Linked DNA regions of Arabidopsis thaliana. The protein of the gene in region 4 interacts with the protein of the main gene of each other region in a pairwise test. Each region holds a gene or a part of one and is shown on either strand. Other genes may lie near its edges.

The links.
Region 1: the proteins of CEST (region 4) and AT5G49540 interact in a protein complementation assay, tested with the Arabidopsis thaliana proteins (one large-scale study listed by BioGRID).
Region 2: the proteins of CEST (region 4) and TBL18 interact in a protein complementation assay, tested with the Arabidopsis thaliana proteins (one large-scale study listed by BioGRID).
Region 3: the proteins of CEST (region 4) and UBC34 interact in a protein complementation assay, tested with the Arabidopsis thaliana proteins (one large-scale study listed by BioGRID).

What each region holds. Positions count from the first base shown.
Region 1 is NC_003076.8:20,103,816-20,108,109, reverse strand, and holds AT5G49540 (Rab5-interacting family protein), read left to right. Parts: upstream 1-1,831; 5' UTR 1,832-2,125; intron 2,126-2,484; 5' UTR 2,485-2,500; coding exon 2,501-2,598; intron 2,599-2,696; coding exon 2,697-2,892; intron 2,893-3,002; coding exon 3,003-3,022; coding exon of another isoform or gene 3,023-3,032; exon of another isoform or gene 3,033-3,275; coding exon 3,276-3,306; 3' UTR 3,307-3,629; downstream 3,630-4,294. Other genes in the region: AT5G49555 (FAD/NAD(P)-binding oxidoreductase family protein), read left to right, coding at 37-116, 210-330, 421-487, 570-699; BLOS2 (biogenesis of lysosome organelles complex 1 subunit-like protein), read left to right, coding at 954-1,037, 1,109-1,408; AT5G49530 (SIN-like family protein), read right to left, coding at 3,868-3,927, 4,015-4,135, 4,226-4,294.
Region 2 is NC_003075.7:12,967,593-12,973,144, forward strand, and holds TBL18 (TRICHOME BIREFRINGENCE-LIKE 18), read left to right. Parts: upstream 1-1,966; 5' UTR 1,967-2,159; exon of another isoform or gene 2,160-2,396; 5' UTR 2,397-2,594; coding exon 2,595-3,114; intron 3,115-3,621; coding exon 3,622-3,896; intron 3,897-4,005; coding exon 4,006-4,812; 3' UTR 4,813-5,052; downstream 5,053-5,552. Other genes in the region: AT4G25370 (Double Clp-N motif protein), read left to right, coding at 5,155-5,372, 5,476-5,511. UniProt on the Arabidopsis thaliana protein: May act as a bridging protein that binds pectin and other cell wall polysaccharides. Probably involved in maintaining esterification of pectins. May be involved in the specific O-acetylation of cell wall polymers.
Region 3 is NC_003070.9:5,916,212-5,922,203, reverse strand, and holds UBC34 (ubiquitin-conjugating enzyme 34), read left to right. Parts: upstream 1-1,861; 5' UTR 1,862-2,225; intron 2,226-2,227; exon of another isoform or gene 2,228-3,006; 5' UTR 3,007-3,041; coding exon 3,042-3,098; intron 3,099-3,301; coding exon 3,302-3,356; intron 3,357-3,769; coding exon 3,770-3,808; intron 3,809-3,890; coding exon 3,891-3,954; intron 3,955-4,054; coding exon 4,055-4,116; intron 4,117-4,182; coding exon 4,183-4,240; intron 4,241-4,317; coding exon 4,318-4,345; intron 4,346-4,509; coding exon 4,510-4,601; intron 4,602-4,781; coding exon 4,782-5,058; 3' UTR 5,059-5,372; downstream 5,373-5,992. Other genes in the region: AT1G17285 (uncharacterized protein), read right to left, coding at 917-986, 1,092-1,489. UniProt on the Arabidopsis thaliana protein: Accepts the ubiquitin from the E1 complex and catalyzes its covalent attachment to other proteins.
Region 4 is NC_003076.8:18,011,100-18,016,039, forward strand, and holds CEST (death domain associated protein), read left to right. Parts: upstream 1-2,049; 5' UTR 2,050-2,296; coding exon 2,297-2,641; intron 2,642-2,717; coding exon 2,718-2,762; intron 2,763-2,847; coding exon 2,848-2,961; intron 2,962-3,431; coding exon 3,432-3,512; intron 3,513-3,791; coding exon 3,792-3,959; intron 3,960-4,103; coding exon 4,104-4,193; 3' UTR 4,194-4,335; downstream 4,336-4,940. Other genes in the region: BGLU13 (beta glucosidase 13), read left to right, coding at 47-1,570; AT5G44660 (uncharacterized protein), read left to right, coding at 4,711-4,940. UniProt on the Arabidopsis thaliana protein: Nuclear genome-encoded factor that participates in photosystem I (PSI) biogenesis. Cooperates with the plastid genome-encoded protein PSI assembly Ycf3 in the assembly of stable PSI units in the thylakoid membrane.

The DNA.
Region 1 (4,294 bases), 2.1 Mb from region 4:
TTAGGATTTGAACTCTGAATGTGATTTTGTATGTAGGGAAGCATGTAATCAACTTGTTCATCCAGTACACTCCTTACAAGCCCTCAGATGGAAGCTGGGAAGATCCTACTTACCGAGTTAGTTTGTTATACACGCTTGGCTAAACATTCCTTTACACTACAAGACATGCCAAACCCATCTGGATTTGCTTTTGCTTGTGTAAAAATCAGGAAGCCTTTGCACAAAGGTGTTTCAAACTGATTGATGAATATGCACCCGGGTTTAGCTCATCCATCATTAGCTACGACATGTTGACTCCTCCGGACCTGGAACGGGAAATTGGTCTAACAGGTATATAAAGTGAAGTACTTGGAGAAAGATCCCAAGTACATGCGACATGGCCAAACCATATTGACATGACTGCCCATTTGTATTCTGCAGGCGGAAACATCTTTCACGGTGCCATGGGATTAGACTCTCTCTTCCTGATGCGCCCTGTGAAAGGATGGTACGTGACTCCGAAGTACTCAAAACAGTCTTTACGATTTATGATTATGAAATTCAAAACTTTGTTGGACTGTGTGAAACAGGTCAAATTACAGAAGCCCTTTGAAAGGTCTCTACTTGTGTGGCAGCGGAGCTCATCCTGGAGGCGGAGTTATGGGTGCACCTGGAAGAAACGCTGCACATGTTGTTCTTCAAGACTTGAAAAGAATCTAGCGAGTATAATCTCAGACTGTGCAATGTTAACTCTCATGTGTAAGTTGTTTGTTACTGCTCTGAAAACCTCTGTCGTAGGGAGAGGCTTACAGACATGGACAATAGTTGATATCAACGAATAATAAGCCTCCACGTGTAGCTTAACCTAAATATCACTAATTCAACAAATATGGAAAGTGCCCTAAACAACAGAAGAGCCATTGTTTATTTGTCTTTGTCTTTGTCTTTGCGAAAAGAAGTAAATATCCTCATCAATGGCGGATTCACGAGATGATCTAGCTGAATCGCTACAAAATCTATTCACGAGTGTTTCATCTATGGTCAAATCCGAGCTCCAGGTGAAAATCAATCCGAAATTTTACAGATTTATTTGTTTCCACAGATCTGAAATTGAATTGGATAAAAATAGGGAACGAACAACCATCTAGATCTATTGGAGAAGATGAACCTGAGAGTTGCGTCAGAGTACGATGATATGGGTGACGTGGCAGCTGGGCTCAGAGTTTTCGCAGAACAGATGAAATCAAAAAGTGGTGGCTTGGATGAATTTGTAGGACAAATGGATGCTATCGAGAAACAAGTGTCGGAGTTTGAAGCTGTGATCTCTGTTCTAGATCGATATGTCTCTGTCCTAGAATCTAAAATCCGAGCTGAGTATCGTCATCCTCATCATCAGCGTCGCTCTAATGATTCTGTTGTTACAGACTGATGCATTGTAGCAATAATTAATTTTTATCATTACTGAGATTGTTGGAATCGAGATCTGGAATGCTATTTTGGTTTTAGTTGATATTGAAGCTAGATACGAATACGACGAATGATTTTGTCTACATTCGGTTTAAGTTTAACCAAAACTGAAATTTGCATAAATCAATCTGGAACCAAACCAAACGAAAAGCACCTAAGTTTTTTTTTTACCGCTACTCCATATATAACCATTTACCGTACTTACTAATGCATTGGTTAAGTGTTTTGTTAAACATATTAAAACCTCCTAAGCAAACAAAACCAAACCGAATTAATTTCAGTTTGAATGTAATAGCGATGGTTTTATAAAACCAAAACTTGGAACAAACTGAACTGCTCATCTTTAGTAGTAAGTAACGAATTTTCATAATCACAAATTGTGATGTATAATCATGTTATCCGTTTCAATATCAAGAAATTTAACTAGCATAGTTGGAGAGTGTTGTTAATTTTGATTAGTAGTGGACAATCCGGTTTAAGGTTTGGTTCCGGTTCGATTTTACGGTTTATATATTACTTGTTTTCTCTGTGTTTTTCTTTTGTCTAAAAACACTCTAAAGAACTTAAAGATATTCGTCTGATTGTTCTCTCTCAAATTGGCTCATCCTCTCCATTCAATTCATCCCAAGTACCAAAGCAAGCTACTTCGATCTTCCTCTTACTACTCTCGTTTCTAATTGTAAGTCTATATCAATTCCTTTTCCAAAGTTTGTGTAGATCTCAAAGTAGTAGATCGGAAGAGATCGATAAAACCAGATCGATTAATCATAGTTGCTCCCACTCTCGACTACTTAAGAGATAATCATAAAGTCTTAACCTTTAGGAATCGAAATTTATTGTGATGCTTAGATAGCGAAACCCAGTTATAGAATCATTGAATCAATTAGAAACCCCTAATTTTCCTGTGGAAATTTGCTTAAAATCAATACTTTTTTGGGTTTGTAATCTATACACTTACTCTATGATGTCCAAGTTCTTCCTTTTTTGTTACTGTAATGTAAAATCCAATACAAAGATTTGAAATTTATGTTGTTTCAGATTGTTGTTATCTTAAATGGGTTCATCTGAGAAGAGATCAAAGGATATCATGAGTGACATACCAACTTTCAGTGCAGAGAATTTGCAGAACAATTTGAAAGTCATTCAAAACAGGTCTGATTCAATACAATTCTCTCTCTTTCGTTTTCTTAAAAAGATGATGGTTCTCGGGTTTTTTGACTTGTTATCCCTCATTTTGTTCGTGTTTGCAGCCGGACGTTTCTGTCTATCATAGCTGGTGTCTTAGCAGGAATAATTGGATTCAATGGCTTGATTGGTTTTGTATTTTACTTTGTGGTGATGTTGATCACATCTGTTGGGCTCATGGCTAAGGCAGGATTCTCAGCTGACTTGTACTTTGATTCGTGGAATCGGGTTCTTTTTGACGGTTTTCTTGGTGGCCTTATGGTATATCTTCATTTCCTTTTCTTATTACATTGTTTGTTGCTTCAAGATACATGTTGTTGATCCAACCTGTTAATCTCATACTAATCGCGGTGTTGTTTTCTTTTTCGCAGTCGTTTGTGCTGTTCTGGACGTATCCTTAAACTCAATTTGGTGGTCATACTCATTTTATGATAATGTGCAAAACTAAATCAAAGGTTGATTAGCTTTATGGAAAAACATCTATGGTATGGTGTAGGTAAAAATGATTAGCTTCTTAAGAACCTGTGATTAACATAGAAATGGCCTTTTTGTTTACTTCGTGTAGAATCAAGTATATGCGCAACTCGAAAACAGCTCTCTCTATTCTCTGTTTGTCTCAGTAGGTTTCCTTAACAATGGAGTAGATTTGCGTATGACTTGGTGCACATATTCTGAGGGAACTTCTGCTCCAGATGAGGATGGTGAAACGGCACACAAGATTGAGTTCGGGTTTTGCAGCCTCTTCATCTAAACTGAATTAGATTGACAATGTTTCTCTTGTTCCCTTTTTGAACAACAGTTTATGAGTTCGTATTACCTTTTTTTGTTATTTGAGATCACATCAAACTGTGAAAACCTTTAGATTGAAAAGTTTCAAGTATTTACACTTTCTTCCAATTTCATGTGTTCACATTGTTGTTTTCTTTTTTTTTTACATTCTTGCATGTAAAATATATTCGAATATGCTTAAGATTTCAATAGAGAACATTAGAACACTCTCTGTCAAGTTTGAACTTAGCCGTCTATGTGTATTGTATAGTTCTTTTGTTGCTTCTTATGTTTATTTTCCTGTGTTGGTGTGGCTTGTCTTACCAACTCTAGTTGAGTAATAGAAAAAAGGTTGTTTGATTTCAAAAAGGAAAAACAAAATATGAATATCTCATAACTACTGAACCGTTTACTCATATCAAAATTTATAGACCATTAAAATCTAGTCATGATGATTTAATAAACTCATCATCGAGCTTTCTGTAAAACCCATCCTGAAGAGTTGGTTTCACAGATCTCGTGCATCACCTGTCACACAACACACAGAGTTTAGAGACTAAAACTACGCTTTGGTCGAAACACAAAAAAAAAGTCAAAGAGAGCTCAAGTGAAGACCTTTATATATTCGTTGTTGGTGATTTCACGTTCAAGTTTGGTCCTGCCTGCTGCAAATACCTCAGCCTTCATAAGCTTTGTTCCAGGTGGAGATCCGGTTAAGAGGCTAATGACCACTTCCCTGATGATAAAAACAAAAAAAAAAATCAGAGAAATTAGAGATTCAACCGAAATAAAGAACCAATGTGATCATGTTCCAACAAAAAATAACCTCAAAGAATCATATTCAGGATGGTCTGGAGACGATATGGAGACATAAGACCCGTGAATGTTAGTAGCC
Region 2 (5,552 bases), on a different chromosome or scaffold from region 4:
AATTATTTCTTAGAAAGAGTTATGGAAGAATTAAAAGTTTTAAAAACATTTGATGCTAATCTAGTTTTTCTTTGGTGACTTTTTTTCAACCAATTTGAGATGTTTTAAATGGGGATCTGACAAGTAACTATTGTACCAGGAATACGCACCATTTCCTTTTTTTGTGCTTATAAATACATATTTATTTATTTTATTTATATAATAATTTGAAAACTTAGAAATTACACTAATTTATTAATTCTTTACTTACAAACAATTGGTTTTAGTTTTTAAAATTATCCAAGGCTGATTTCACCTAATTAAAATAACCATGACTAGATTTTAACCCGCGGACAACTTATTTTTTAAATTAGTATATATAAAAGTTTGCAAATTAAATCTATTTATTTTTATTTTATAGTTTACAATTGTTATTAAATAACGTCTTACCAAACCCGTCTCGCCAAATCCGCCCCGTAAAAAAAAACCGCGGTACACCGCTAATTTAAATATATAATTAAAAGAAATATTTTACGGGATTGCAATTGTATTTTGGTTTGTCAAACAAATATTTGTTTAAAATAGTTGCCAAAATCTAGTTCAAATTTTGGAGAAAAAAGATTTATTGGATAGATAAAGAATATATTTAGGTGGGTTTTGCTCATTTTAAGGGATTGCAATTATATTTTTGTTTGTCAAACATTTTTTGTTTTAAATAGTTGCTGAATATATTTGGAATATTTTTAGTTTATTAATCAATTTATTGCTGGAAAAAAATCAATAATTAATACTCAATGGCAGCCTAGTAAATAAGTCCCAACTCTAAGATTTATTTCACAAAATGGCTGCAAAAATGTATATATAGATGATTCATTATTTCATTTTATGCGGTAGGAGTAAAAACAACATTAACTAGCAAAAACTATAATACACACACAACAGTAACTACTCATCGAGTATGGCATTCATGGATACGAATCAAATCTCAAATCGTATAAGCCTGGCCATTATTTTATTTTACAATATTTGATAATGTGCTACCTAAATATCAAAATTTTAGAATATTCTGAAATAAAATGTCGAATTTTTGTGATAGCCTTAAATTACTACATGCTCACGTATGTAAATTTTCTATTCTTTCATAGTTAATTTTCTATTAAAATGTACAATTTCCAGTTTGATGGTATGAAGATCAACAAAGTACCATAAAAATGTATAATTTCTATTTCTTCCTAATTAATATTCTTTAAAGTGTAATTTTCCAGTTCATCCTTGTTAATTTTCTTAAATAATAAAATGTAAAACTTACAAATTTCACGGACTTTATTAACAGAAATGTAAATAATTGTAAATAAATGTAAACATACTGTGTCACAAGAAGACATGACAAAAAATAAAAACAGTAGAAATAAACTTTTTTCTGGGTGCGTGTGGTAAAACAAACATGGGGACTGATCCAATGAAGTTTATCGCAATTTCTGGAATTTCAGTCGGTGTATTAATCATCATCGCACTGATAGTGGCTTATGCCTGCTATCGTGCCCGAAAGGAAGGACCAGTCAGAGGCGACGGACGACTCACACCTATTGTAATGATGATATGATATATCACCTATTTTCGATCTTTTTCTAATAATTTATTTTATGATGCAACTTTTTAGATTACTATATACTATAGAAGAGCATATTGTAATTCTATTTTACCTATATAATAATAAATAATATTTCGGCGATTTTGTCATATGCTGGAGTGTTACATTAGATGATGACTAGTAGGGTTTTTTTTTTTATGTGAAAACAACAATCGTTGTGTCATATAACGCGAAGTGACAAACAAACAATTCGAAATATTAGCAATGTTACAAAATTCGAAATATACGCAATGTTATGGTGGTGTTGACCGAAGGGTAGTTTCGTAACTTTACATCATCGCGTGGTCGTATACGCGCCGATGAGATCACAGACGGCATTAATGGGCTCCGGAAGAAGAAACAAATGATTAATTTAAGGAATAAATTACCACTAAATTCGTTTGATTATTTCCGGAAAACAATTAACTAATAAAACTATAACTAACCTTTGTTTAATTTTTTGATTTCGCGTCTTCACTGTTGTGGATTTCTTCTGAATCTTCTGAGCTCGCTTCACCTACAAGAAGACAACAAGGATCATTTTCTCTAGGTTCGTAGATTCTCTTTCTTCTTCTTCTTCGTTTGGATCTGCTTAGTGAAGAAGATAATCTTCTGAAAAATTGTTTGTTTTTTTTCTGAAAATCTGAATACGTAATGATTTGAGCTGAATCTGAGTTAGATTCACATTTATATTCTGGATTTGTGCTATTTGATGATTTATTAGATCGATCATCTTGTTTTCTTCTTTCGCCTTTAAGTATGTTTGCTCATAGTGTTGCTCTTCCAGATTCCAGATCCTGAAGAAGGTGAAATCTTATCTGTGATCCAGTGGAAGATTGAATCAAGTAACAGATTCACTTAGTTCACTTGCGTATTGCATGCCCCTGAAGATAACATTTTGAATAATGTTGATATTGAATTATCACCTATAAGCTCTGGTTCTTGTTGCTTGTATTGGTTCTGGGTATCTACTAGTGAAGAAACCATGGCTTTTGGTTCTCCTAGGAATAATTCTATATTAGCTGCGGCTGGATTTCCTCGGAAAGTGTCTACAGTTGCAATTGCTATTGGTGGTTTGGCATCATTCTTTGTTTTCGGATTGTTGCTTCGTCTTTCGTATCCGAATAGTTCTTCAGTTGGTGGCATATTTTATGGGATAGGGAATCCTGAACAAGTTCATGTCCCTTTATCTTTGAGCAACCATACTGTCAATATCCTTCAGAAGAGTAGTGACATCAATGCGTTTGATAAAAATCTGACTTCTGATTCTAGCTCTGGCTTACCTGTTGTTGTTAGCAAAAGTATACCACCTCCAGATTTCAGTAGTGATAGGAAGTTGGAGACACCTTTGACACAAGAAAAAGAGGATTTGGTTTCTTCGGATATAACTGAAAAGACTGATGTTCAATCAGGTGAACGTGAAACCAATGTTTCCAAGGCTGAAGACACTCCAAGTGCATCATCTCCTCCAGATGATGTCTCTGAAACTGCTTCAGCAGAACCAGGTACTGTTGTTATCTTTTAAACGCTTATTTCCGTAGCTTTTGTCGTATTTGGAACATTTTGAGTTATGGTAGCTTAAATTTCAATAAACAAAGACTAAGCTAGTGTGGGAATGTTATAGAACATTTAGTTTTGCATTTCTATGGAAAGGCGTAAGTTTCTGAGAAGTTTTAAAGAAATTCAGCGGCTAAACTCTTAGCTATAGACCTACTGTAATTATTCTAGCCGAGGACTGAATATAGCAGATTAGAGTAAAAACTTGGTTAGGGAGCAGATAGTGAGTGCTGGGCTTGTAAGGTGGTCTCAGCATTTTGTTTTAGGGGTTAGAGTTTCTAGGCTTTGTGGGCATTTGGTTGAGAGTTCTACCTGTTTTGGTGAATTGGAATAAGAAGAGCAGTTTCATAGATCTGTTCTTGTCAGTTTCCCTTGCTTCTCATGATTCTAGCTGTTCGATGTTTTATATTTCTGTTATGAGTTTGTCGCTTACTCAAATCTTTGATTGCTTGTAGAGTGTGATTTGTATCAAGGTAGTTGGTTTTATGATCCTGGGGGACCTCTCTACACGAACAACTCTTGCCCTGTCCTGACGCAGATGCAGAATTGCCAGGGAAATGGAAGACCTGACAAGGGATATGAGAACTGGAGATGGAAACCGTCTCAGTGTGAGCTTCCTCGGTTTGATGCCAGAAAATTTCTTGAACTTATGAAAGGCAAGACACTGGCCTTTATAGGAGATTCAGTAGCTCGTAATCAGATGGAGTCCATGTTGTGCCTTCTTTGGCAGGCAAGTAATTCAATTTAATGGTGAAAACCGGTATAAGGGATCTATTGTGTTGCTTTATTCAGCTTCAGGAGATCGTATGTATTATATTAAAGTAGGTTTCTGTTTTCAGGTTGAAACACCAGTCAATCGTGGGAGCCGAAAGATGCAGAGATGGTATTTTAAGCAATCATCAGTAATGATTGCCCGTATTTGGTCATCTTGGCTTGTTCATCAGTTCAACGAAAAATTCGATTATGCTCCTGAAGGTGTCACAAAACTAAAGCTGGATCTTCCTGATGAGCGCATAATGGAAGCTATCCCGAAATTCGACGTGGTTGTCCTCTCATCAGGGCACTGGTTTGCAAAGCAGTCTGTCTACATATTGAAAGAAGAGATCGTGGGAGGCCAATTATGGTGGCCAGACAAATCAAAACCCATGAAAGTCAATAACGTGGATGCATTTGGAATATCAGTTGAAACAATCCTTAAGTCCATGGCTACACACCCGAACTACAGCGGTTTGACCATTGTGAGAACATTCTCACCTGATCATTACGAAGGTGGTGCTTGGAACACAGGTGGATCATGCACGGGGAAAGAAGAACCCATCCTTCCAGGGAAGCTAGTGAAAAACGGATTCACAGAGATAATGCATGAGAAGCAAGCGACAGGATATAACCAAGCCGTCGATAAAGTCGCGGAGAATTTGAAGCTAAAACTAAAGCTGATGGATATCACAGAGGCATTTGGATATCGCCATGATGGTCATCCTGGTCCATTCAGAAGTCCTGACCCTAACAAGATCACTAAACGGGGACCAGACGGACGGCCTCCACCTCAGGACTGCTTGCACTGGTGCATGCCAGGACCAGTCGATACATGGAACGAAATGGTCTTGGAGCTCATAAGGAGAGACAGGAAAAGCTCATCAACTTGACTTGGTTTGAAACTCAAAGGATGAGAGAGCATATTACACGACTTATACTATTAATCTGATTCTTGGTTACTGATAAACTCAAAGATAAACTCACTTGTAGATTTGTGCTAGGCACGGTGAGTTAGGATTAGAATTTGTTCCACTATACTTGTTGGTTCGTTTGTCCTGAGATTGAAATTTAAGATTTGGGAGTTATGAGTTCAAGTTTATTCATACTAGTCGAAATTTCATAAATTATATAAACTGGGGGGGGCGCATTTGCAAAATAGCTGAGTAATAATCGCCTATCTCACTGACTCACCCAAAGCCCGACCAAAAGCTTTTGATTCCTCAAGAGTGAAAATGGCGTCGTACACAGTCTCCTTTATCCCTTTGACGCTCTCTAATCCTCGGATCTTTGTTTCGAGACAGAATGGATCTCCCTCGTCTTCTTCTCGGATTCCTCTAACGTCTTCTCTGTTAGGTAAGAAGCTTCTGGCGACACAACCGTCGCATCGCTGCTTCGTCCCCAAGCTCCGGTGCTTGACCTCGGCCAGCACGGTCTTAAACGTCCCTATTGCGTTAGTTTTTTTATCTGACAGCTCTTTTACATCTTTATCATTTCTGGGTTTTTCCTTTCACCACGGATATTGAAGCTTAGGGTGTTAAGGTTGAATTTTTCAGGCAACCGGAGAATGGTTCTTCGGATAAGATCCCAAAGTGAGTCTCACTCCAAATTACGTATAGAATTTGTAATTGTA
Region 3 (5,992 bases), on a different chromosome or scaffold from region 4:
ATAAAGAACTTCTGGATCGTGGATTATTCAGACAAAACCATGTGTTTTATTGGTCGGAGTCGGCGCGTAAAACGCTGTTAGAAATTGGACAAAATTTGGCCATTATGGGCCGAGTTACGGTTTAGAGACTCTCTTCCGGCCCAACCGGTTCGTGGGAAAAATTCATCATATTATACATGGGATCAGCAAAACGACGTCATTTTGGCGGCGGTTTTCTCAGCGTTTCCTAATAACAGTAATATTATTATACATGGGATCAGCAAAACGACGTCATTTTTGAGTAATGTGTTGGATGCCACTTTGTTTCTTCTTGGTCCAAAAGTTTGTAAACAATCTCAACAATCTGTATCGGTGTTTTAGAGAAGTACAAACTTACATGTCAAAAGGAATCTAGTGCTCACAGCTGTGATTACTTCTTTCATTGTTGCTGTTTTGCAGTGAGGAGTAATCACTGGATATCGAGATAGGCAGCTAAATAGTCAGGATATTGTGAGGTTTCCTGCAGAACAACTTTCAATTTTTTACGGATCTGAGGATGCATTTTTGAAGCATATAGAACCGAGAACATAGATAAAGAGGTTGATCATTTTATATTTAAGGTTTTAAGCACCACTGAGAACAACATGCTATGGCTGAGGATAAGTCTGCTGAAGTCAAATAAAAGAAACCACAAAGCAGAGAAAAGAAGAAGAACTCAAAAGATTAAAGAGGTTGAGAATAGTTTTGGAAAGTTAGACTACTCGAGCTAGGAGGCGTTTTAAATTTTCATCCTATCTTGATCGATCAATAAGATTAAAAGATGAGTTCATATATTTCAAGTAGATTACAGCATTAAAAGCACACATGTCTAGGTACCTATTCTACAAAAAAAACGAAAGTAGAGGATCTAAATAAGGACAAAAAAAGAACTGGAATTTTAAGGTTTTCTTGATGTTGTGATCTGCTGTTGTTTCCTACTTGCTTTAACATCTACCGGTGGATTACACCTGATACAAAAAGAAACACTTTTTGATGTCAATTACACCTAAAACTCATCTTTGGGGATACATAAAAAAAAAGAAAAACTAGATTGTGTCTCGTATCTTCTTTACTTGTTCTGTATAGGGTTTGAGCCACTCCTTGGGATTCTTCTGAAGCTATCATTTTCTCCCTTAAGTGGCTCTTTCTTCATCTCCTTGCTTACAGGCAAATCTCTCACAGCTTGACTCGAATGTGTCATCGTTAACAGAGAACGTCCTTCTACACTATACTTGCTGCTAAAGAAAGCTACAAGTAACAGAACCAGAGCCACTGAACAGCATCTCTTCATTCTGAGTTCTCTTCTTGAAATTTCCTTTAGGACTCTTGAAACCTCTTGACTTTTTCTTGTTCTGTTTTTCTGTGAACTGAGAAAATCTTGGATGGAGATGTGTGTTAGAGAAAAGAGAGACGAGAGACTTCTAAAGCTTGTTGGTTTTATAGAATAAGATTTATGTGTGTTTGAACACATAGTTATTGGGATCTGATCACGTGATCTTACTTTGACTAATGCTATTTAATCAGATGGTGAGATACTTATCTTATTCTTAATCATTTACTTACGATGATGATGATATTCCTCAAGCATCTACATTGAAACAATGATACAATATCATATGTAGAGACAAAGATCCACATATTCACATTACCTAACTCATGTAACTGCTTTGAAACTAAGAGATGGTGGTCATGTGATTAGAGCACGTGATTTCTGCCTACTGTTATCGGGGAACTCAAAAGAGGCTGAAACTTAACTTTATTGAAATTATTTTTTAAGCATAACTTTGGAATTTGGAGGTATTAGTGTAAGTCCAATTTCAGAAAAGAAAAAATTGCAGGTAACAGCTGTTTTGTCTCACTACTAATCACTAGTTTTTTTTCTTCTTCTGCAGCTATTTTTTTTATATTTCATGAAGAGAAGGAAAAATTGATTCCAAGAACCGGCACAGATTCTTTGATGAGTGGTGGAGAATAAAGAAATAGGGAAAAGTGCATTACGCAAAATAATTATTAAATCATTGATCCTCTAATAACGAACCGGAATGGATTATACAATACCGGTCTAACTTGTGTTGAATTTTGTTCGGTTTAGATAAACCAAGCGCGAGTTAGGCTAATTCTTTCTCTCTCTACCCGCGGAGAAGGAGAAAGTGAGATTAACGAGAAACCCCAAGAGAGAAAATCTTCATCGACAAAATTCGATTCAGGTGATCAATTTCTTTCATATTTTCGCAATTATTTCTTGGATCTGATGTTATCTACTTTGGAATTTCTTCGCTGCATTATCTTTTGATTTGTTGTTCTTGTTCCTTTGCGTTTCTGGGTAAGAGCGAAGCTTGAAATTGCAATTGGAATCTCTAACAAGTTTAAGACTTTGCTTTGATACGGTTTATGTGGAAGTATCTGTGATTTTCTTATATATTTATGGAAGATATTGCAGCTGATTCGAGTTTGGTTTGCCTATCATTGTTGCAATTTTCTCGGTTCAATCAAAGGATTTTCTAGGTTGATATATAATTCCAGGGATTTCCAGATAATTTCCTTTAATTTGGTTGGAATTCGATTGAATTTTCGTTGCTTTCAATTGGTTTGCAGTGATTTGGGTGAAAAGATTTTTCCAAGCTCATGGAAATTGGGGATTTTTATTCAAAGGGTGTTTCTGGTGATCATAGAGTTGTTTGACTCAAGTTTCATTTGATCTTGTGTGTATTTGGTTGGTTTTTCTTTTCAATCAGGTCATGAAAGTATTGCATAATAGCTAGAAGTATTGTTATCTCTGTATATGTGTTGTGAGATAGTACAATTGGTAAAGTTTCCATATCAATGGCACGAAAATCAACTGCAATTTACTCGTTTCGATATATGTTTTTATGTAGTTCATATATGTAATTCAGACATAAGGGTTTTATGTAGTCCATCTCATCAGTAGGTGGACTTTCACTCATATTTGTATTTCGTTTTGTTGATAATGTTAAATGGGTGTAACAGCTGCTGCAGCTATTCACTTCGTCCATAGCACGTAGATGGCAGAAAAGGCCTGTATAAAACGTCTTCAAAAGGAATATAGAGCACTTTGCAAGGTACACTCTCTTTACTTGTTTTTCTACCTCTCTCGAGCTGGAACCAGGATTCCATATTTTTATTGCTCAACCAGTTTTCTCTGTACTTTCAAATGATGCTGTATCTATATGTGAATGTTTTCTTGGTTTTGGTTTAGAGTAAGTTTCATATTTTCTTTTGTTTCTTTGGGGGTTATTTAATATGTTCTGTTTTTGGCCTTTAGGAACCAGTCTCCCATGTTGTTGCTCGTCCTTCCCCAAATGACATTCTCGAGTGGCGTAAGCCTTCCCTATCTTTTTTTCTTAATCTTTATTCCTGCTGGCTTCCTGTAATCCTGTTGCAAGCGTTTCTATAAAGATGTTATGATAAGTATATATGATGGACATATTTGCTACACTTGTGAGTATACGTTAAACTAAGAAAAAATGGGATACTACGATCTAAGTAGACAGAAGAGGTCTCACATTACTTTGATGGAATAGTGAAGACTTATTTATCAAAGGTTTATATGTACTTACAATGCATAGATTTGATAGTTTTCTTCTCAATTGTGAAAGGCTGTCAGTGTTACTGTTAGCCTGATAGCGGTTAGGGAGTTTCAGTCTTTCTATTATTACTGCATTTAGTATGTTAAAAAGGGTAGCTTGATCTCTTACTAAAATAGAGTTAAACTATTGGATTAATCTTACAGATTATGTGCTGGAAGGCAGTGAGGGAACACCTTTTGCAGGTGAAAATCTTCTTTTGAAAGTTTCTTGTTAGTGTTGTCTTACGCAGTATCTTATTTTTGATACTAAAATTCTCTTTACCAGGTGGATTTTACTATGGAAAGATCAAGTTTCCTCCCGAGTATCCTTACAAGCCACCAGGGATTACGTATGTTCCAATGGTTCCTCCAAATTCAGTCTCAACATTACTCTTACCTCATTTTTTGTCCAGTTTTTTAATGAACCAAATCTTTTTCTGTTTGCCTCAGAATGACTACACCAAATGGTCGATTCATGACACAGAAGAAAATTTGTTTATCTATGAGTGATTGTAAGGACAATCTGCACTTTCTGTTCATTATTTCGTATCAATTAACTTGTCTAATATCGAAATAAGTTGACATGGCATTTACAGTTCATCCAGAAAGCTGGAATCCGATGTGGTCTGTATCAAGGTATAGATTCTTTCTTTACTTTTGGAAGATGACAATCGATATACCCGTTGATAACCAACTTTTTTTCATGAATGCAGCATACTTACAGGACTTCTCTCATTTATGGTAAGCTCACTGTAGGTTCTACATATTTATGGACATCTTGTTTGAAAATTCTCATATTCTTATATTGTAATGGTTTATTAGCTTAGATATGAATATTCAAAAAGGAAGTCTATTTTTTCTTTTCTGTTCTCAAGCTTTCTCTAAACGTTTTCCTTGCGGCGCAGATGGATACCAGTCCGACAACTGGAAGTGTTAACACTACTGTAATTGAGAAACAACGGTTGGCTAAGTCATCTCTCGCTTTCAATTGTAAAACGTAAGATTTTCCCATCATCAAAAAATTTCAAATTCTGGATTCATATAGAAGCTAAGTTTAGTTATCTGTGGTTAGGATAGTCATAAAAGCTGGTTAGATAACGAATATAGGAATGAATGCAGTCCTGAGATTACATGTTTTCGGTATTTCACCTGAATCCAATGTTCTTACTTGTGACAGCCCAGCATTTCGAAAGCTATTTCCAGAGTATGTAGAGAAGTACAACCAGCAGCAACTAGCTGAGCAAGCTACCACACAACTGACAACACCAGAGTCTCCTCAAAAGAGCGATACCAAAGTCGAGTCAGAGAAAACCATCGATCCAACAAAGGGAGATTCAGAAGGTGGCTTGAAGGAGAGGAAAAAGAACAATAAACAGGGATTGCCAGCGTGGATAATACTGTTGCTAGTGTCGGTTTTCGGTGTGGTAATGGCGTTGCCTCTGCTTCAACTGTGATTTCTATGCAACAAACCTCGACCTGGTTTTCGTATAATCTCTCCTTGTGTCTCTCTCTCTTCAGCATCAAGAGTAGTCTCCTTTTGTCTAGTGCTCTTCGTCTGAATTTACTCATTTAGCACCTCATGGTTTGTGCTTGTAAAAGCAGATAACATAAGTTTGGTTTCACAATTACATACATATTGTAGCTTCGTTGGAACTACTTTGTATAGTATATATGAATTGAGGATAATGGTTTGGATTTGAAAAATAGAACCGTATGGTTTTCAAATTGTACTTCTCCTAGAGCTCACAGGTTAATTTGTCAATTTATGTAAATACTCTGGTGTAGTAACTTGATGAAAACAGAAGTGACAGAGAGAATACACAGACAATAGTGAATAGAATTGTTAGGTATATTGGGCCAATTAAGCAATTGTCCCTTTAGGCCCATTGGTAAGAAAAGGAAAAAACCATACTTAATGATAAATTAAAACCGGTATGGCTGTACCGGTTCAATCTGTCTTCAACCACCGACGTTGACTTGTTACCAATCTTCTTCTTCTGCTCGAGTCCAGTCCAGTGAAAGTGATTATGTTTATGGTTAATAATGTTAACTCTATAATTTAGTGGGAAAAATGTTATTTAATACCTCAACTTACAAAAAATGGTCAAATTAACCGTGAACTCGTGAAATGGCCGTTTTAACTTTCAACAAAAAGTTGACTTCTGTTTTAACATTCAAGTTTGCGTTGACTCGGCCTAATTAACCACCGTTAAAATTCCTTCTAACAGCGTAATTGACAGACGTTACAGAACATCCGTTAAGGTGATACGACGACGTTTTGTGCTATCAACAGACTTCAAAGTCGACGAAACCTCTGAAAAATCCCCAAATCAAAACCCAAACCCTAAAAATCATTTTCTCTCAAATTTTTCGATCAAATCTGCATTA
Region 4 (4,940 bases):
ATTCATCTTTTCACAACAAACCAAGTTTCAACAATCAATCATAAAAATGAGAACTAAATATTTTTCTTTGCTAGTGTTTATTATTGTCTTGGCTTCTAATGAAGTTATAGCCAAGAAACACTCTTCAACACCTAAATTAAGAAGAAGTGATTTTCCAAAAGATTTTATTTTTGGAGCTGCAACGTCAGCTTACCAAGTCGAAGGAGCTGCTCATGAAGATGGTAGAGGTCCAAGTATTTGGGATACATTCTCTGAAAAATATCCGGAGAAGATAAAAGATGGTACCAATGGATCTATTGCAAGTGATTCTTACCATCTTTACAAGGAAGATGTGGGTTTACTACATCAAATTGGTTTCGGTGCCTATAGATTCTCTATCTCGTGGTCGAGGATCTTGCCACGTGGGAATCTAAAAGGAGGTATCAACCAAGCTGGTATTGACTATTACAACAACTTGATCAATGAGCTTTTGTCTAAAGGAATTAAGCCATTCGCCACCATTTTTCATTGGGACACACCGCAAAGCCTTGAAGATGCTTACGGAGGATTCTTTGGCGCGGAGATTGTGAATGACTTCCGCGATTATGCGGATATTTGCTTCAAGAATTTTGGAGATCGAGTGAAGCATTGGATGACATTGAACGAACCATTAACAGTTGTGCAACAAGGATATGTTGCTGGTGTAATGGCTCCTGGAAGGTGTTCAAAATTCACAAACCCTAATTGCACCGCGGGAAATGGAGCTACCGAGCCTTATATTGTTGGTCACAACCTCATTCTTGCTCATGGAGAAGCAGTCAAAGTATATAGAGAAAAATATAAGGCATCTCAAAAAGGTCAAGTTGGTATCGCTTTGAACGCGGGTTGGAACTTGCCTTATACCGAATCAGCTGAAGATAGATTAGCTGCGGCACGAGCCATGGCCTTCACATTCGACTATTTCATGGAGCCGCTTGTAACCGGTAAATATCCGGTTGACATGGTCAACAACGTAAAAGACGGTCGCTTACCTACATTTACTGCAAAACAATCTAAGATGTTGAAAGGATCATATGATTTCATTGGCATCAATTATTACTCATCTTCTTACGCTAAGGATGTTCCTTGCTCAAGCGAAAACGTTACATTATTCTCTGATCCTTGTGCTAGCGTCACAGGTGAAAGAGAAGGAGTGCCTATCGGTCCAAAGGCAGCATCAGATTGGCTTTTGATATATCCAAAAGGAATTCGTGATCTCCTTCTCTATGCAAAATACAAGTTCAAGGATCCTGTCATGTATATAACAGAGAATGGTAGAGATGAAGCTAGTACCGGTAAAATCGACCTTAAAGATAGTGAGAGGATCGATTACTACGCTCAACATTTGAAGATGGTTCAAGACGCTATATCAATTGGAGCCAATGTTAAAGGATTCTTTGCGTGGTCTTTGCTAGATAATTTTGAATGGGCAACGGGCTACTCAGTCCGATTTGGACTAGTTTACGTGGATTTCAACGATGGACGTAAGAGATATCCAAAGAAATCGGCAAAATGGTTCAGAAAGTTATTGAGCGAAAAGAAAAGGAATTGATGAAACATGCATCATTACATTATATTAACCAACTAGGTTAATATATGCACGATGTGTAGTTTGTTTGAGTAACAATTTATCGTTCTGTTATAAATATTGTTTGGTTATCAAACTTGAATACTAAAATAGTGATTCAAATGTAAAAATTTTGTGGACACTATATTAAATGAAACATTTCCAATATTTCAAGTTTCAGTATTCTAGAATTGATAAATTAATTGTACTTTAAGAATCAAATATTTAAACAAATAGTTGATGAAATAACACTCTATATTGAATATTATATTAAAATAATTAAAATTATTAGTTTTTTTTGAGATATTAAAATCATGAATGCAAAATATAAAAGTTATATTATTTATTATTTTTGATTTCATAAAATGAGTATGTATTCTTTTAGAGATAAAAGAAAAAAAGAAAAAAATTGGCAAGTTCGATGCAAAACCCCTTAAATATGGGGAATCCTAAATATGGAAAACACAATAGTAATTTTATAGTATTATCCAAGTAGCAGTTGTTCGGAGGCTATCTACATGTCTCAGCCACTCGTATTATTCTCCAATCTATAAAAATTCAAATTTTCAATCTCCCTTTCTTAAGATTAAAAGTGGCAAAGTTGAGATTTTGATCGTCTTCTTCCTCTGGAAATTTCAATCGAAACTATATCTTCAGAGATGCAGAATCTGTGAAATTGTAGAAACGAATTTCACATTTTTTTTTGAAGAAATGACGACGCAGATATTTCAGTTGCCGTTAAAGTACTGTGCTTCGAGTTTTTCTTCCACCGGCCAACGGAATTACGGTGCTTCTTCTTCGCCGTCTCCGATTGTAATTTGTAAGAGTAATGGAATTTCCGATGGTCTTTGGGTGAAGCGGAGGAAGAACAATCGGAGATTTGGTAGTTTAATAGTTAAGCAGGAGAAAGGAGACGTGACGGAGATTCGAGTTCCGGTTCCGTTAACTTTGGAGCAACAAGAGAAGGAGAAACAAAATCGAGATGATGAAGAAGATGAAATCGATGAAGGAGATGTAGATCCTGAAGATCTCAAATACGTCAATGAAATCAAACGGGTTCGTGATTCCTTTGGCTGAGTGAAATTGTAGATAGTTGAATCAGATTGTACTGAAGTATTTTGTGTGTGTTTAGGTAATTGAGCTTCTTAGGAGGAATAGAGATATGATCTTCAGTGAGGTAAGCTACATTTTCATGGTTCTGTGTTGGTTTTTAGTATTGGTTTTGATTAAGCCCGAGCTTTGTGTGTGTTTGCATATTATAGGTTAAGTTGACTATTATGATTGAGGATCCAAGGGAACTGGAAAGAAGGAGGCTTCTTGGAATAGAAGATGCAGATACTCCAAGCAGAGATGATTTGGCTGAAGCCTTGGAACAGGTGATATATATTATTATCTTGAGTCTGCCATTACCTTAATAGTAAACTTAAGTGTGTTGTGTGACTGGTACATGAGCCATATAGACATCAGTTTTCTGCTGAGGGTGAAAATGAACTCATATATGGCTCAAGGAGGGTCTACAGAATGCTGTTGTAAATCAGTTGGTTACTGTTGAGTAAGAGTGTTGTACAGCTTATTACAGTCTTTACATGGAAACACTGCTCAACCAACCTTTTGTTGAGTTGCTTTCATACTTAGATCTGTCACATATCTGGTTTCAAGTAACATTGTGATGGCTAGTCTAATATATAAGCTAAGTATGCAAAACTGTTCCAAGGCGTAACTGTGCTTGTGATAGAAATCTCACTTGACAACACCAAGTTGAGCAGTTTGCTCTTTGTAGCGACATGGGGTTATTAAGTGGCATTAGTATGAAGATCCTTAAAAATGAATTGATTGCTTTACACAGGTAAATGATGGGAAAATCCCTAAAGATCGTGCAACTCTTCGGATGCTGCATGAGGAAATGATCCGTTGGCCAAATTTAGAGGTACCTCTTCTTTGTACCTCACAATTGTTTTTTGTTGCCTATTGGTGGGACTGATAGGAAGAAACTGCCTTAGGCAATATAAATCTATAATGACATCTCTCCTTAGGCAATTTAAATCCATAATCCGTAATGGTTCCTATTGATGCTAGAAACTATAATGGAAGAGATCTCTTTTCTTTTGTGTAACTCTGGTGACGGCTATATACATTTAGTTAGTTAGCTAAGCAGAACTCTGTTTTAAAGCCCTATCTTAACACCTTATCTTATTTATCTTATAAGGTTGAGGTTTCAAAGAAGCAACGAGGAAAGTCAATGTACGCTAAATCCACAGACACTGGAATAGATCCAAAAGAAGCAGCCAAGAGACTCAACGTCGAATGGGATTCAGCTGCTGCAATTGAAGAAGTCGATGTCGATGATGAACAAGGAGTAGTAACCAAAGTCGCGGTTTGTTCCCATATCACTCTCAAACACTTTCACAGCTTTGACCTGGAAATCGTTATTCTTTCACAACATTTTAAGCGTTCCGTATTTGACTTTTTGAAATCTGATTGATATTTCTCCTGCCTTTTGTTCTTAATCCGTTTGCAGGGCTATGGAGCGTTGTACTTCGTCTCAGCTTTACCAGTTATCATTGGTATCTCTGTTGTATTAATTTTGTTTTACAATTCCCTACAGTAGAGTCAAATCCATTTAGTTGTTATACACACCACCACCAATGACCCATCATTGATGTTTTGTAACTTAAGAACATGAAATGAGTTTTTCAATTATTTAATCATCTTCTTCCTTATACAACGGCTTGTGGTCTGCACAAATTCCAGGTAAAGTACTCCAAAACCTTCGGTAATATTAAAATAAATGTGGTTCGTGCGAGCATATCTATCATGATCAGATCCTGTCTCAATCTTGGGCATAGTCTCATGTCAACGATGTTAAATATTTTAAAGCTTATATTATTTGTTTATGTTTATAGTAATAAAGTCAATAACCTTTGGCTGAGACTAATACGCAGGAAACGAAAAAAAAGCTGGACGTGCATATCATGACTCAGTGTAGCTACCTTAAGCCACCAAACGTGCGGTCCATGCTTACTCTCTGTGGCTCTGTATAAGTATTCATCTTCTCTTTAGCACTAAGACTTAGCCATTTGTCAATTTCTCTTCTTACAGATCGAGATTTCAGGTCGGAAAATAAAATGGTGGCTGCAGTACTTATGCCAACTATTAGTTTCAGAGACGAAAGTGCTCGCGAGGATTGGCAAGTTCTAAGCAGAAACGATTCAAAGAAGAAGATTCTAGTCAAGCAAACGAGTATGATGCAATCCGAGAGAGAGATATCGATGGATCCGAAATCAATCAGGTCGTTGTCTATGTCGGGTTCGTTGAGAAGGAACGATAGCTTCGATATGGTTCGTTTACCGGCAAT